3 linked regions of the Danio rerio genome follow. The protein of the gene in region 3 binds, or shares a complex with, the protein of the main gene of each other region. Links are inferred from orthologs where the notes say so. Each region holds a gene or a part of one and is shown on either strand. Other genes may lie near its edges.

Evidence for each region.
Region 1: smc5 (region 3) and nsmce1 share a complex: the UniProt entries of both Homo sapiens proteins name them as parts of the SMC5-SMC6 complex. The link is inferred for Danio rerio from reciprocal best matches to the Homo sapiens genes SMC5 and NSMCE1.
Region 2: smc5 (region 3) and nsmce2 share a complex: the UniProt entries of both Homo sapiens proteins name them as parts of the SMC5-SMC6 complex. The link is inferred for Danio rerio from reciprocal best matches to the Homo sapiens genes SMC5 and NSMCE2.

The regions. Positions count from the first base shown.
Region 1 is NC_133178.1:43,207,134-43,211,070, forward strand, and holds the start of nsmce1 (non-structural maintenance of chromosomes element 1 homolog), read left to right. Parts: upstream 1-1,137; 5' UTR 1,138-1,202; intron 1,203-3,296; 5' UTR 3,297-3,318; coding exon 3,319-3,436; intron 3,437-3,937. UniProt on the Homo sapiens protein: RING-type zinc finger-containing E3 ubiquitin ligase that assembles with melanoma antigen protein (MAGE) to catalyze the direct transfer of ubiquitin from E2 ubiquitin-conjugating enzyme to a specific substrate.
Region 2 is NC_133191.1:26,958,670-26,962,650, forward strand, and holds the start of nsmce2 (E3 SUMO-protein ligase NSE2), read left to right. Parts: upstream 1-1,181; 5' UTR 1,182-1,193; exon of another isoform or gene 1,194-1,389; intron 1,390-1,483; 5' UTR 1,484-1,493; coding exon 1,494-1,608; intron 1,609-3,981. UniProt on the Homo sapiens protein: E3 SUMO-protein ligase component of the SMC5-SMC6 complex, a complex involved in DNA double-strand break repair by homologous recombination. Is not be required for the stability of the complex.
Region 3 is NC_133185.1:17,915,255-17,918,754, reverse strand, and holds part of smc5 (structural maintenance of chromosomes protein 5), read left to right. Parts: intron 1-440; coding exon 441-602; intron 603-683; coding exon 684-755; intron 756-848; coding exon 849-1,104; intron 1,105-1,192; coding exon 1,193-1,347; intron 1,348-1,428; coding exon 1,429-1,542; intron 1,543-3,346; coding exon 3,347-3,441; intron 3,442-3,500. UniProt on the Homo sapiens protein: Core component of the SMC5-SMC6 complex, a complex involved in repair of DNA double-strand breaks by homologous recombination.

The sequences.
Region 1 (3,937 bases), on a different chromosome or scaffold from region 3:
TTAGGTTTATCTTTTTTAATTTTGTTTATTAATTTTAGGCTCAATCCCAAAGAATCTGTGCTTCAGATAAAAAGAAAATCTTCTGTAATACTCTGAAGAATGGTATTTGAGTAAATTAACAGCATTTTTCAAAAAGTGTTACATGGAGAACTGTTGCAAAAATTAAGTTTAATAATGTTCAACTTAATTTGTTTGTTTAAATTCAACACAAATAAATTGTTTACAACCACTTTACGTAAAAAACAAATGAGCAAATCCAAAGAATCATCTCTGTATAATTTTTTTCAGTGTGATGTGCTGCTGTTCAGGATAATAATAATTTGGACTCTGTGAGTGGTGATAATATGTTGAATAATGTTAAACGGATGTATTCCATCATCATTCTCAAATGCTGCCTGTCGTGTTTGCTGATTTGCAGGTCATTATATAAGTCAGTTATCATAATATTTTTTTTAAAACTGGGGCCCCTGAGGGCCAAATAGGAGTGTTAGTTGGTCCGTAAAATAGTTTATTTAATTATATTAATAAATACATTATATTGATATTTTTCTTGCTGGATAAGTTGGCGGTTCATTCCGCTTTGGCGACCCCGGATTAATATAGGGACTAAGTCGACAAGAAAATGAATGAATTAATATTTAATTTTAGTTTAATGCATAATCACTTACAAATAAGTAAAAAAAAAAAGATTAAAATGATTAAAGTAGATTTTGTTAAAATTATTTTTAAACTAAATAAATACAATACTATATCATGAGTACAACAATGTGATGTTGACTTAATCTAAACTAAAAAAAATTTTTCTACAAATAATATTTAACAAGTATGAAACTACATGAACTATATGCATTTATCTATTACTGTATACGTAGGCTGGTGTCTTTTAGGAAATGTACAAAAGAAAGGCAAGAAATGATGACCCAACAGATGAGTAAATATCACAAGTAGCATGTGCCGAAAAACAAAAAAGAAATGCTTCCTGGAATTTTAAGGGAAACTTTAAAAAACTACAAGACTCAACAAAGGGAAAAAAAATTGTACAGAAGGGGCAGTAATGCAACAAAAAGGACGCCATCTGCCATTGAGGACTCAAAGAAGAAGAAGAAGAAGAAGAACGCATACCACGTGGCCGGAAGTGTTTCTAGTGGGAACCCGCGAATATTACACGAACTGACAGCTCGTCTGTACATTTAAAAACAAAGGTTTGTATATGAGAAACAAACGTCGCTTTACTCGAAACACTTTCGTCTTTCTTCAAGTGTTCTGTCGTTTTATTTTATTTCAAATTTCGCATTGAGTTACAAATGTTACCATACAAAAATATAGTACATGTGTAGTACTTTTAAAATGTTTTTTAAAAAATACCACAGTGTTTTTGAACCGAACTATAGTGAAGAGTATTATACTTATATATTATAGTATATAATTAAAAGTCTTTAAAATGAAGGCTAGCTACTTATAAATAATAAATACTGTAACATTAGTATAATGTTACGTTACTTAAGATTTTACTACACTAAACTGTGGTGTATTGTAACTTAGTGGTAACGTCAAATAACATGCCACATTGTTGTAGAAAACAGTGTAACGTTATTTAGGGCTGCTCGATTTTGGGAAAAATCTTAATCACAATTATTTTGACCTTTATTGTAATCACGATTATTCAAAACGATTATCAGTTGAAGTCAAAATTATTAGCGCTCCTGAGAATTGAAAAAAAAAAATTCCTAAATGATGTTTAACAGAGCAAGGAATTTTACAGTGTTTCCTCTAATATTTTTTTCTTCTGGAGAAAGGCTTATGTGTTTTATTTTAGCTAGAATAAAAGCAGGTTTAAATATTTTGAAACCCATTTTAAGGTCAATATTATTAGCCCCCTAAGCAACATTTTTTTGATTGTCTGTAGAAGAATCTACTGTTAAACAATGACTTGCCTAATTACCCTAATTAAGCCTTTGAATTGCACTTTTACCTGAATGCTTGTATTTTGAAAAATGTCTAGTAGAATATTATGTTCTGTCATCTTAGCAAAGATTAAAGAAATCAGTCATTAGAAATGAGATATGAAAACTATTATGTTTAAAAATAAGTTGGAAAAAAACTTCTTTCCATAAATCAAAAATTGGGGGGAAAAGGGTTTCTAATATTGAGGAGGGCTAACAATTCTGACTTCAACTGTGTGTGTGTGTGTGTGTGTGTGTATATATATATATATATATATATATATATATATATATATATATATATAAATATATATATATATATATATATATATATATAGTTATTTTCCAACCTTCAAAGGAAAGAGAAATAAATACAATAGAATAAAAATATGAAACCAACTTTGCTTTAAGCATCTTCACTGTAAGAAAAAAACTTTATCTACAAAAGTCCTTCAGTCAACAGCAGTAGTGGATTTTCTCCTTGTTGTTTTATTAATAATGATAAAAACAGGCGGCACAAGGAATATCGCTCTGTCACTTTAATGGTTTCTCTTTCACGTGTCTTTTGATTCCCAACTCATTTGTTTATTACACAAATGAGGGTTAATATGAATAATCACTCTGCGTTTTGACACCTATTTGACCATTAAAGCGCTCACGTTAATGACTTAAGACGTGTGCGCTCTGCTCGTCTCAGTGTACGGATGAGACGAATGCTGACCGCATGCTTCTGACTGTGTGTGCGCTGCACAAACACACACATAAGCACACAGTCTTTCGACTTTTAATGTGTACAACTGGAAAGGCGGCGGTATATGATGCAATAATCGATTATCTCGATTAATGGTTCATTATAATCGTTAGAAGCCAAAATCGAAATCGTATTTTCAATTAATTGCACAGCCCTAACGTTATTTGATAATTTGTTTATATCACCAAAGGTGTTGTGTTACCACAGCAGATTAATTCTGCTAAATAATGTAAAGTGCTTTACTATAGTACGGGTTCCCATATTTTGTGATTTGTGTATTTATTTATTTTTTATTATTTATGCTTTTGAGTTGCATTGTGAGACCTTGATCTTTCTTCTCATCACTTTTAACCTTAAAAAGGTGGAAAAAGTGACTTTTTTAAATGCTTTTAATAGTTAAAAGTTAGATATTGTCTAGTTGTCTGTTATTTTACAGGTTTATTTCTCTATATTATTTTTTATGTTATATTATTTTAAACTACTCAAATGTCAATAAAAGTTTTATGTTGGTATATCATGTAGGTTTACTTGTTTTATGTCGATTTGAGCTCATGTTTGCTTGAGTTTGGGAAATTTAGCTTATCTACACATGTGTTTTCCAGCTGAAAAGGACATTTAGCAGTCATGTCTAGACAGATGGGTGACGGACATAGGCTGTTCCTGCAGAACATGATGACCAACGGCATCGTCAGTGCAGCTCAGGCTGGAATGCTCCACAAGAAGTGCTGCGAGCTCCATGGAGGTATGAAGAAAACACTTGCGCTGATAGGGATAGAGTTAACCCAAAAATGAAAATCCTGTCATCATTTCAAACCAGTTTGAGTTTTTTTTGTTCAGTTGTACACAAAAGTGGTGAAGCAATGGCGCAGTAGGTAGTACTGTCGCCTCACAGCAAGAAGGTTGCTGGGTCGCTGGTTCGAGCCTTGGCTCAGTTGGCATTTTTGTGTGGAGTTTGCATATTCTCCCTGCGTTCGCGTGGGTTTCCTCCAGGTGCTCCAGTTTCCCCGACTGTCCAAAGACATGTGGTACAGGTGAATTGGGTAGACTAAATTGTCCGTAGTGTATGAGTGTGTGTGAATGTGTGTGTGGATGTTTCCTAGAGATGGGTTGCGGCTGGAAGGGCATCCGCTGCTAAAAACTTGCTGGATAATTTGGCGATTCATTCCGCTGTGGCGACCCTGGATTAATAAAGGGACTAAGCCGACAAGAAAATGAATGAATGAATGAAATGCTCATTAAGAGT
Region 2 (3,981 bases), on a different chromosome or scaffold from region 3:
GTTAATTTCCACCAAGCAGTCACTGGTAGGACACCTGACCCACCAGCCAGTTGTTGAAGGCCACCAACCAGGCTCTGGCTGCCAGTTGTCAACTGCCGGGTAAAATGCGCTGCCACTGGCAGGTCATGCTACCTGACAGTTGGACACTGGCGGCTGCCACCAGCCAGTGGCAGGTCATGTGACCCGCCACTGGCGGCTCCTGCCAGCCAGTTGAAGATTGAACCCCTACTGGGAAAGCGGGTTTAAGAATGAACACAACAGCCCACTCTGTTACTATTCTGCTTAATGACTCAGTATCGAATAAACTATACACGTTTTCCCGAATAACTTTACCTAACATTTACACTTCCTAATATACAGCAAACTACTATAGCACAAACTATTATCGCAGTGTAACATTACCAAAAAAGACTTTGAACTAAAAACCGGACAGTTGACTTTTTTAGACAGCATTACCAGCAGTTCACTATGTGAACAGCACAGTTTTGAACGCAGCCCCCTGTGTGGGCATCATTGTAGCGCTACTGCAGTGTGGGGCCTACAAGGCCTTGTCACCGCTGCTGTTATATTTACTTTCTGTATAGCTTAATGTCCTTTTAACCTACCTGAAATTTATGAAAGAACGCTTCTGGCCACAATACGAGGTACATAGGACCGATTAATCCCAGCTTCCCTATTAGCGGCACAGCAATGGAGCCAGCAAACCAGTATCGAGTGATGAAAGGTATGTTTTTAAACCAGTCCCCGATATCCGACATCTTGCCATATGACTGGAGATCCTGGAGATTCTCTGTCGTTTTTCCGCAGATGCTAATTTACAAAAAGAGCAGGTGCAACACACGAATCTTTGACCACAACGCAGAAATGCTGTTTCAGTGCTCTTCTATTTTGGTTACGCACTCCTTCCCGTTTAGTTTACATGACGTGGCCGCGCACGAACGCGTCCTCGTTGCGATTTTCCGTTTAATTTGACTGTCAAATTAACAGTCATGCAAAAAATCTAAAATATTTTTTTATTATTGACACTTAAGCATTTTAAAATATGTGTCGTATTACCTTAATAAGTTTTTATTCACAAACACTTCAACAGTTTTATGATTGCAGTGTGCATTTTTACGAAATCGAGGTCTTTTATATTGATATTTCGAAACCGGAAACAGCCTCTTTGTGGCGCTACTTTTGGCGAAGGAAGGGTTAGCATCTATTTTATTGGATGTTTTATGTATAATGACAGATATTTACTATATGTGTGTTCAAAAACATTTAAAAACTAAATGATAACGCTTAGTACATAGGCCATTACATAGTTACGTTTTGTGAGAGATAGGTAAAACTTTATTCTAAATATAAAACTCTTTGTTTAACTTTACTCGGTTTTTTATCTGTATGGTTAGTGTCACCATTTTTATAATAATTTTTCCCATACAATACACGTGAAGGGTAAATAAGGCTGGAAGTTGATGTTGAATTTGTGTTTGTTCAGTTGTGCAGAGATGTCTCTCAGTTCAGTGAACTCCACCTTGTCCAATCTCAAGTCCTGTCAAGCAGATGTTGGAGATTATATGGATATGGTGTCCGACGTTGGGCTGGGAATAGTCGAAGCACAAGGTGAGAAATATGCGTTTAGCTAAACATATCTTAGAAAGTAGACACTAATATATATTTTATAGATACATCAAACAAACAAAAAACCCACAATTCGATAGCTGAATGTACTCAATTCATGCAAACCTCAGATCCCGTACTGTATTACTCTTGACTACAGGTCAATAGTTCGGGTGAGTTTTATTCAAAGAAAATTATTCTCTTCGTCAAGGCAACATTAATGAAATATAAAATAATTGTTGAATTGTTATATATTTATTAAAATTGTTTATAACTGCTGTTTTATTGTACGTAGTTTCAAATGAAGTTATTACCCCAGTCATTATTGCTTTTATTAATATTACCATTAATAATAATAAAAAATATATTATAATTAATAATAAATATTAGAGTGATTTCTGAAGGTTCATGTGACTCTGAAGACTGGAGTAATTCATTTTTAAAATCACTGTAATAAATTATTAAATTATAAACTACAAGGTTCAATGCTAAGGATTTTTATACCGGTCCGATTGGGCCAATAATTCAAATTTTTACTTGCCCTGGCAAAATTTTCACTGGCACCACCTAAAAACACCTAAAGATAATAGCTATTTTTAGCCACATATTTTAAATAATGTGTCAAAAATAATGTCTGTGAATCTAGAATTTCAATATTTAAAGAAATGAGCAAAAAGTGTTATGCAAACAAGTTGAGTAGTATGAAAAATGTGCAGGTATTTTATTGCAGTTTGAAATTATTTAATAAAAGGTGGCTGACTTGCCAATCTGATGGCAAATTGTGCAAAACATCACTTTATTTTTTCGTTATGTTGTTCCCACGTAAATGTCTGCTTCCAAGACATTACAAACAGACCTTTTCTTTTAGCCTTATAGTTTGATGTTGGCGTCACTTCACTGTACTGGTTGTTACCAGGTTATTTGGGAGAAAAAAGAGCATGCTCAATACATCAAATCAGATAAGAGAAACCAAAAAGCAATATGGTGTTTACGACAACACTGAGAAGGTAACATTTAAAGACTTTAAAGCACAAAATTTAAATGCATGCAATTGACTAATAGTCGCATACAAATGAAACTTTAGTGATAAGGCAGCACTGTTCCAATTGGGCCAGTGATGATCTTGATCTCATCGGGCAGTCCTTATTGTTGAGCCCTGAACTACTTTTGAACAGTTATTTTATAGTGCAATAACATTTCACAATTGTACAATTTGTACTGTATTTTGATTAAATAGATGCTGTCAAGGTGAACAGGATGAGCTTGTTTTAAAAGATTTAATAATCCTACTGACCCCAAACTTTTGACTGGACATTTTCAAAAAAAAATCTTAACAAAAACAAATTTATTGTTTACAAATGCAGTCGTGTTAAGCATAAGACTCTTCTTTCAAACACTGTACTGACCCCAGACTGTTGCACAGTAGTGTATAATGTATAATTAGGGGTGTCACGATTCTCCAAATTTTCGATTCGATTACATTTTCGATTTTTAAGTCACGATTCGATTCGATTTTCGATTATGAATAATTAATTAATTAAAAACAAATTAATTATTTGTAGTCTACCGTTTAAACTACCTGACCTGTATGGTCTTTGTTTTACCCATAAACAAATCATACAGTAAATGAATAAAGGCAAGTTACACACATAATTACCACCCGTCAATCACTTTTTTCTTGTGAATAGGCAGTGATCTCTGTCGTTATTATGGCGTCGGTAAAAAAAGGTGCACAACCAACAGGAACCAGCCAACAGTATCTGAGGTTTTCGCTAAAATGACTAAGTACTAGTGTGAAAGTAAAAGATTGAAGCAGTCTTAACTAGGTTAATTAGGTTAACCAGGCAGGCTAGGGTAATTAGGCAAGTTATTGTATATTGATGGTTTGTTCTGGAGACAGTCTGAAAAACAATTAGCTTAAGGGGCTAATAAATTTGACCTTAAAATGGTTCATAAAAAATGAAGAACTGCTTTTATTCTAGCCAAAATAAAACAAATAAGACTTTGTTCAGAGGAAAAAATATTATCAGACATACTATCAACATTTCCTTGCTCTGTTAAACATCATGTTAAAAAACAACAAAGGGGGCTAATAATTCTGACTTCCACTGAATATATATTTACAGTAATTTTTTAAAATGTTTTTAAGAAAACATTCAGTTCATCAAGGCTACATTTATTAAATGTAAAAAATGTTAAATTGTTAAATATTTATCAACATTTTAAATAACTACTTTGTTATTGTATGTAGTTTCAAATAAAAGTATTACTCCAGACATTATTTCTTTTATTAATATTACCATTAATAAATATAATAATAATTAATATTAATGATTTCTGAAGGATCATGTGACTGGAGTAATGAAGCTGAAATTT
Region 3 (3,500 bases):
ACCTTAAAATAGTTTTAAATAAATTAAAAACTGCTTTTATTCTTGCCAAAATAAAACAAATAAAACTTTCTCCAGAAGAAAAACATTATAAATACTGTGAAAATTGCCTTGTTCTGTTAAACATAATTTAGGAAATATTTAAAAAAGAAAAAAAAATCAATGAAGGGCTAAAAATTCATTTATTGAATATATTAGGACTATTACGTAATTTGGCCTAAATGAGCAAAACACACCCAGCACAATATTATTTAATTATTGTTAAGGTGGGAAAATTATTCATATAATGAGCCAAAAACTATTTTGGCCAATATTGCACACCTTTAGTGAACATTCTTTGTGCTTATCGTTTTTGCTTTTGTTGTACTAGGAGTGGATGTTTTTAAAAATTTGAGTACATATGGAATATCATTTCCAAACTGTATCTTTTTTTGTTGTTTTAGGAGTATGAGACGGCACGTAAAGAGCTGGAGGGGGTGAAGAAGGAAAGAGATGAAATGAAAAGGAAGCTTAGGTTCCTGAAGGAAGCTCAGGAGCCGCTGCTCAGAAAGATCCGCTCTGTGGAGAGTGAGCTGCAGCCCATCGAGCAGCAGATGAAGGAGATGGTCAGCACTGATCACAACCTCACCAGCAAGACTCTGTTTTATTTTATTTATATACAAAAGTAATACCTTTATTTTTTCCAGACCAACCGTATCAAAGAGGCAACGCAGAAATGTAAGCAGAAACACGACCAGCTTGAACTGAAGAATAAAGAGGTTTGTTTTTCACCTCCTGAAACGGACGAGCCTTTTATTTGTAGTAACACCTCCTAAAACTGTATTGAAAGACTCATCACTCTCTTCCATCAGGTTGATGACATCAAACAGGACATGAGTCTAAAGCAGACGGAGGAGGCGGACAGGCAGAAGCGGATTGGACACACGCAACTGATGATCAGAGATCTGCAAAAGGAGCTTCAGAACATGGGCACCATTGAGGACGTTACTCCTCAGATTGAGGCTATCAATGCAGAGCTGAGGAACATTCAGGAAGAAAGAGCCAGACTGGAGAGTGAGAGTCTGGACCTGCGCAGAGATAAAGATGAAATCACTGGAGAATTTGCGCGTAATGTTATATATTCATTTTAATAGCGAACTATTATGTTGCATGAATAGCCAGATCCAAGACTTGGGCTCGGTTTTATTTGTGGTAGGTTTGCAGAATCGCCTGAGGAGTCTGGATGACATGATGAAGATTAAAGAGGAGAAATTGCGCAGCCGCTTTCGTGACACATACACAGCCCTTGAGTGGCTGAGGAAAAATCGTGATCGTTATGAAGGAGTTGTCCATGAGCCCATGATGCTGGTGGTAAGTTAACAGCTGTTAATTTTAGTTGCTGTTTATAAATGGGTTGTCAAGTTGATCAATTTCTTTCCGTTTTATTGCCAGATAAATGTTCGTGATGCTCGGCATGCAAAATACATTGAGACTCACATTTCTGTCAATGACTTGAGAGCTTTCGTCTTCCAGAGACAGGATGATAACGACAAATTTATGAATGAGGTGAGAAGCTCGACTTTGTAGAACTTTTTTTTTTTTCCGAGTTTTGTAATATGACATTTGGTGGGAGGGGGTGGAGGGTATTTTAAAAATAACACAATGCATTAAAGAATGCATGGGATGAAGAAGAGGCATCCAGTTTTGGTCAATTCAATAATTGCTGTATTGGCAGGCCAAATGTATTGCCAAAGCAAGCAGTTTACATTAAAAAGAACTTGCATATATAGACAGTTGAAGTCAGAATTATAAGCCCCCCTAAATTATTAGACCGCTTGTTTATTTTTTCCCTAATTTCTGTTTAACGGAGAGAACATTTTTTCAGCACATTTCTAAACATATTAGTTTTAATATTTATAATATTATATTTCACATTTCTAATAATTGATTTATTTTATCTTTGCCATGATGACAGAAAATAATATTTCACTAGATATTTTTCAAGACACTTCTATACAGCTTAAAGTGACATTTAAAGGATTAAATAGATTACTTAGGTTACCTAGGCAGGTTAGGGTAATTAGGCAAGTTATTGTATAACAATGGTTTGTTCTGTAGATTATCCATAAAAAATTTAGCTTAAAGAGGCTAATAATTTTGTCCCTAAAATGATGTTTAAAAAATTAAAAACTGCTTTTATTCTAGCCGAAATAAAACAAATAAGACTTTCTCCAGAAGAATAAATATTATGAGACATACTGTGAAAATTTCCTTGCTCTGTTAAACATAATTTTGGAAATATTTAAAAAAGAAGAAAAAAATTGGAAGGGGGCTAATAATTCTGACTTTAACTGTATATAAAAAAAACATACTAAATACCGTAAATAAAATCATAATAATGATTATAGCTGCGAAAAGCAACTATCGGGGCCAAGCAGCCAAGCGGCCACATTATAAACAAGCAATGCAACAAGCTAAAGAGCAACTGGAAAACTATAACTTTTTAGCAGTATGTTCGGAGCCAAATTTGGTGGAAATTGGGCTAATGATCTATGGAGAGTTCAAACCAGGTTTTCAAACTAGTTCAAGATTGTGGACAATAAGTTGTGTCATTTAGGGAATAAATTATCGGTGCTTGGGCCCCTAACTATATAAAAATATTAATAAAAATAATAATATATGGATATAATAATTTGGATAAAACGGTTATAACAAATAATAATCAGTATATTTACAATGATTTATAATATTATGATAATATATTAATAATAATTTTTTTTTATTGTTATAGACTCATATATGTTTTTTCAACTTTTGTGAATAATTATTCTAATAATAGTCTAAGAGATATTTTTATGTTAAAATGAAAAAACATATTCTGACCTGTACTTTAGGAATGAATAAACTTTACACTCACTTTATGCCCGCATACCAACTATTGGTAGAGAGGAAAGACCGTATTACTTGAAATATATACATTTTATTACATTATTAATATTATTATATATATATATATAAATTTATGGATAAAAACTTAAAATGTCTGAAGGATAGTTGCAATAAATAAAGATTTACTTTTACAAATAATGAGTATTTTGATGCTGCAATGTGTTTTGTAAATTCAAAAGTTTTTAAAAATGTCTTCAAATAATTTTTGCATTTTGATGAGATTTTAATTTATATTATCTGCTGTAACAGAAAGCCATTTTAGTCTCCTCTAAGTCATGGTAAAAGCGTTGTTTTTTTTTTTTTAACTTTTGTTATTATTTTGCTTCTTGCAAAAACCCTTTTGTTATTGACTCGCATTAAAAAATGAAAAGTAAATTATGTAAAACGAGGCATGTTTTTTTTTTTATTTTTTTTTTTTTAGATGAGAGATACGCAGAGGCTGCGAGTTAACAGCATCATCGCTCCTACAGAGTCTTGCTCTAAACGACCACCGTCACGACCCATCGAGACCCTCAAGTAATGAGCATCATTAAATGTCTTTTTTTTTTACTACATTTAGAGTTTATGTGTTTAAT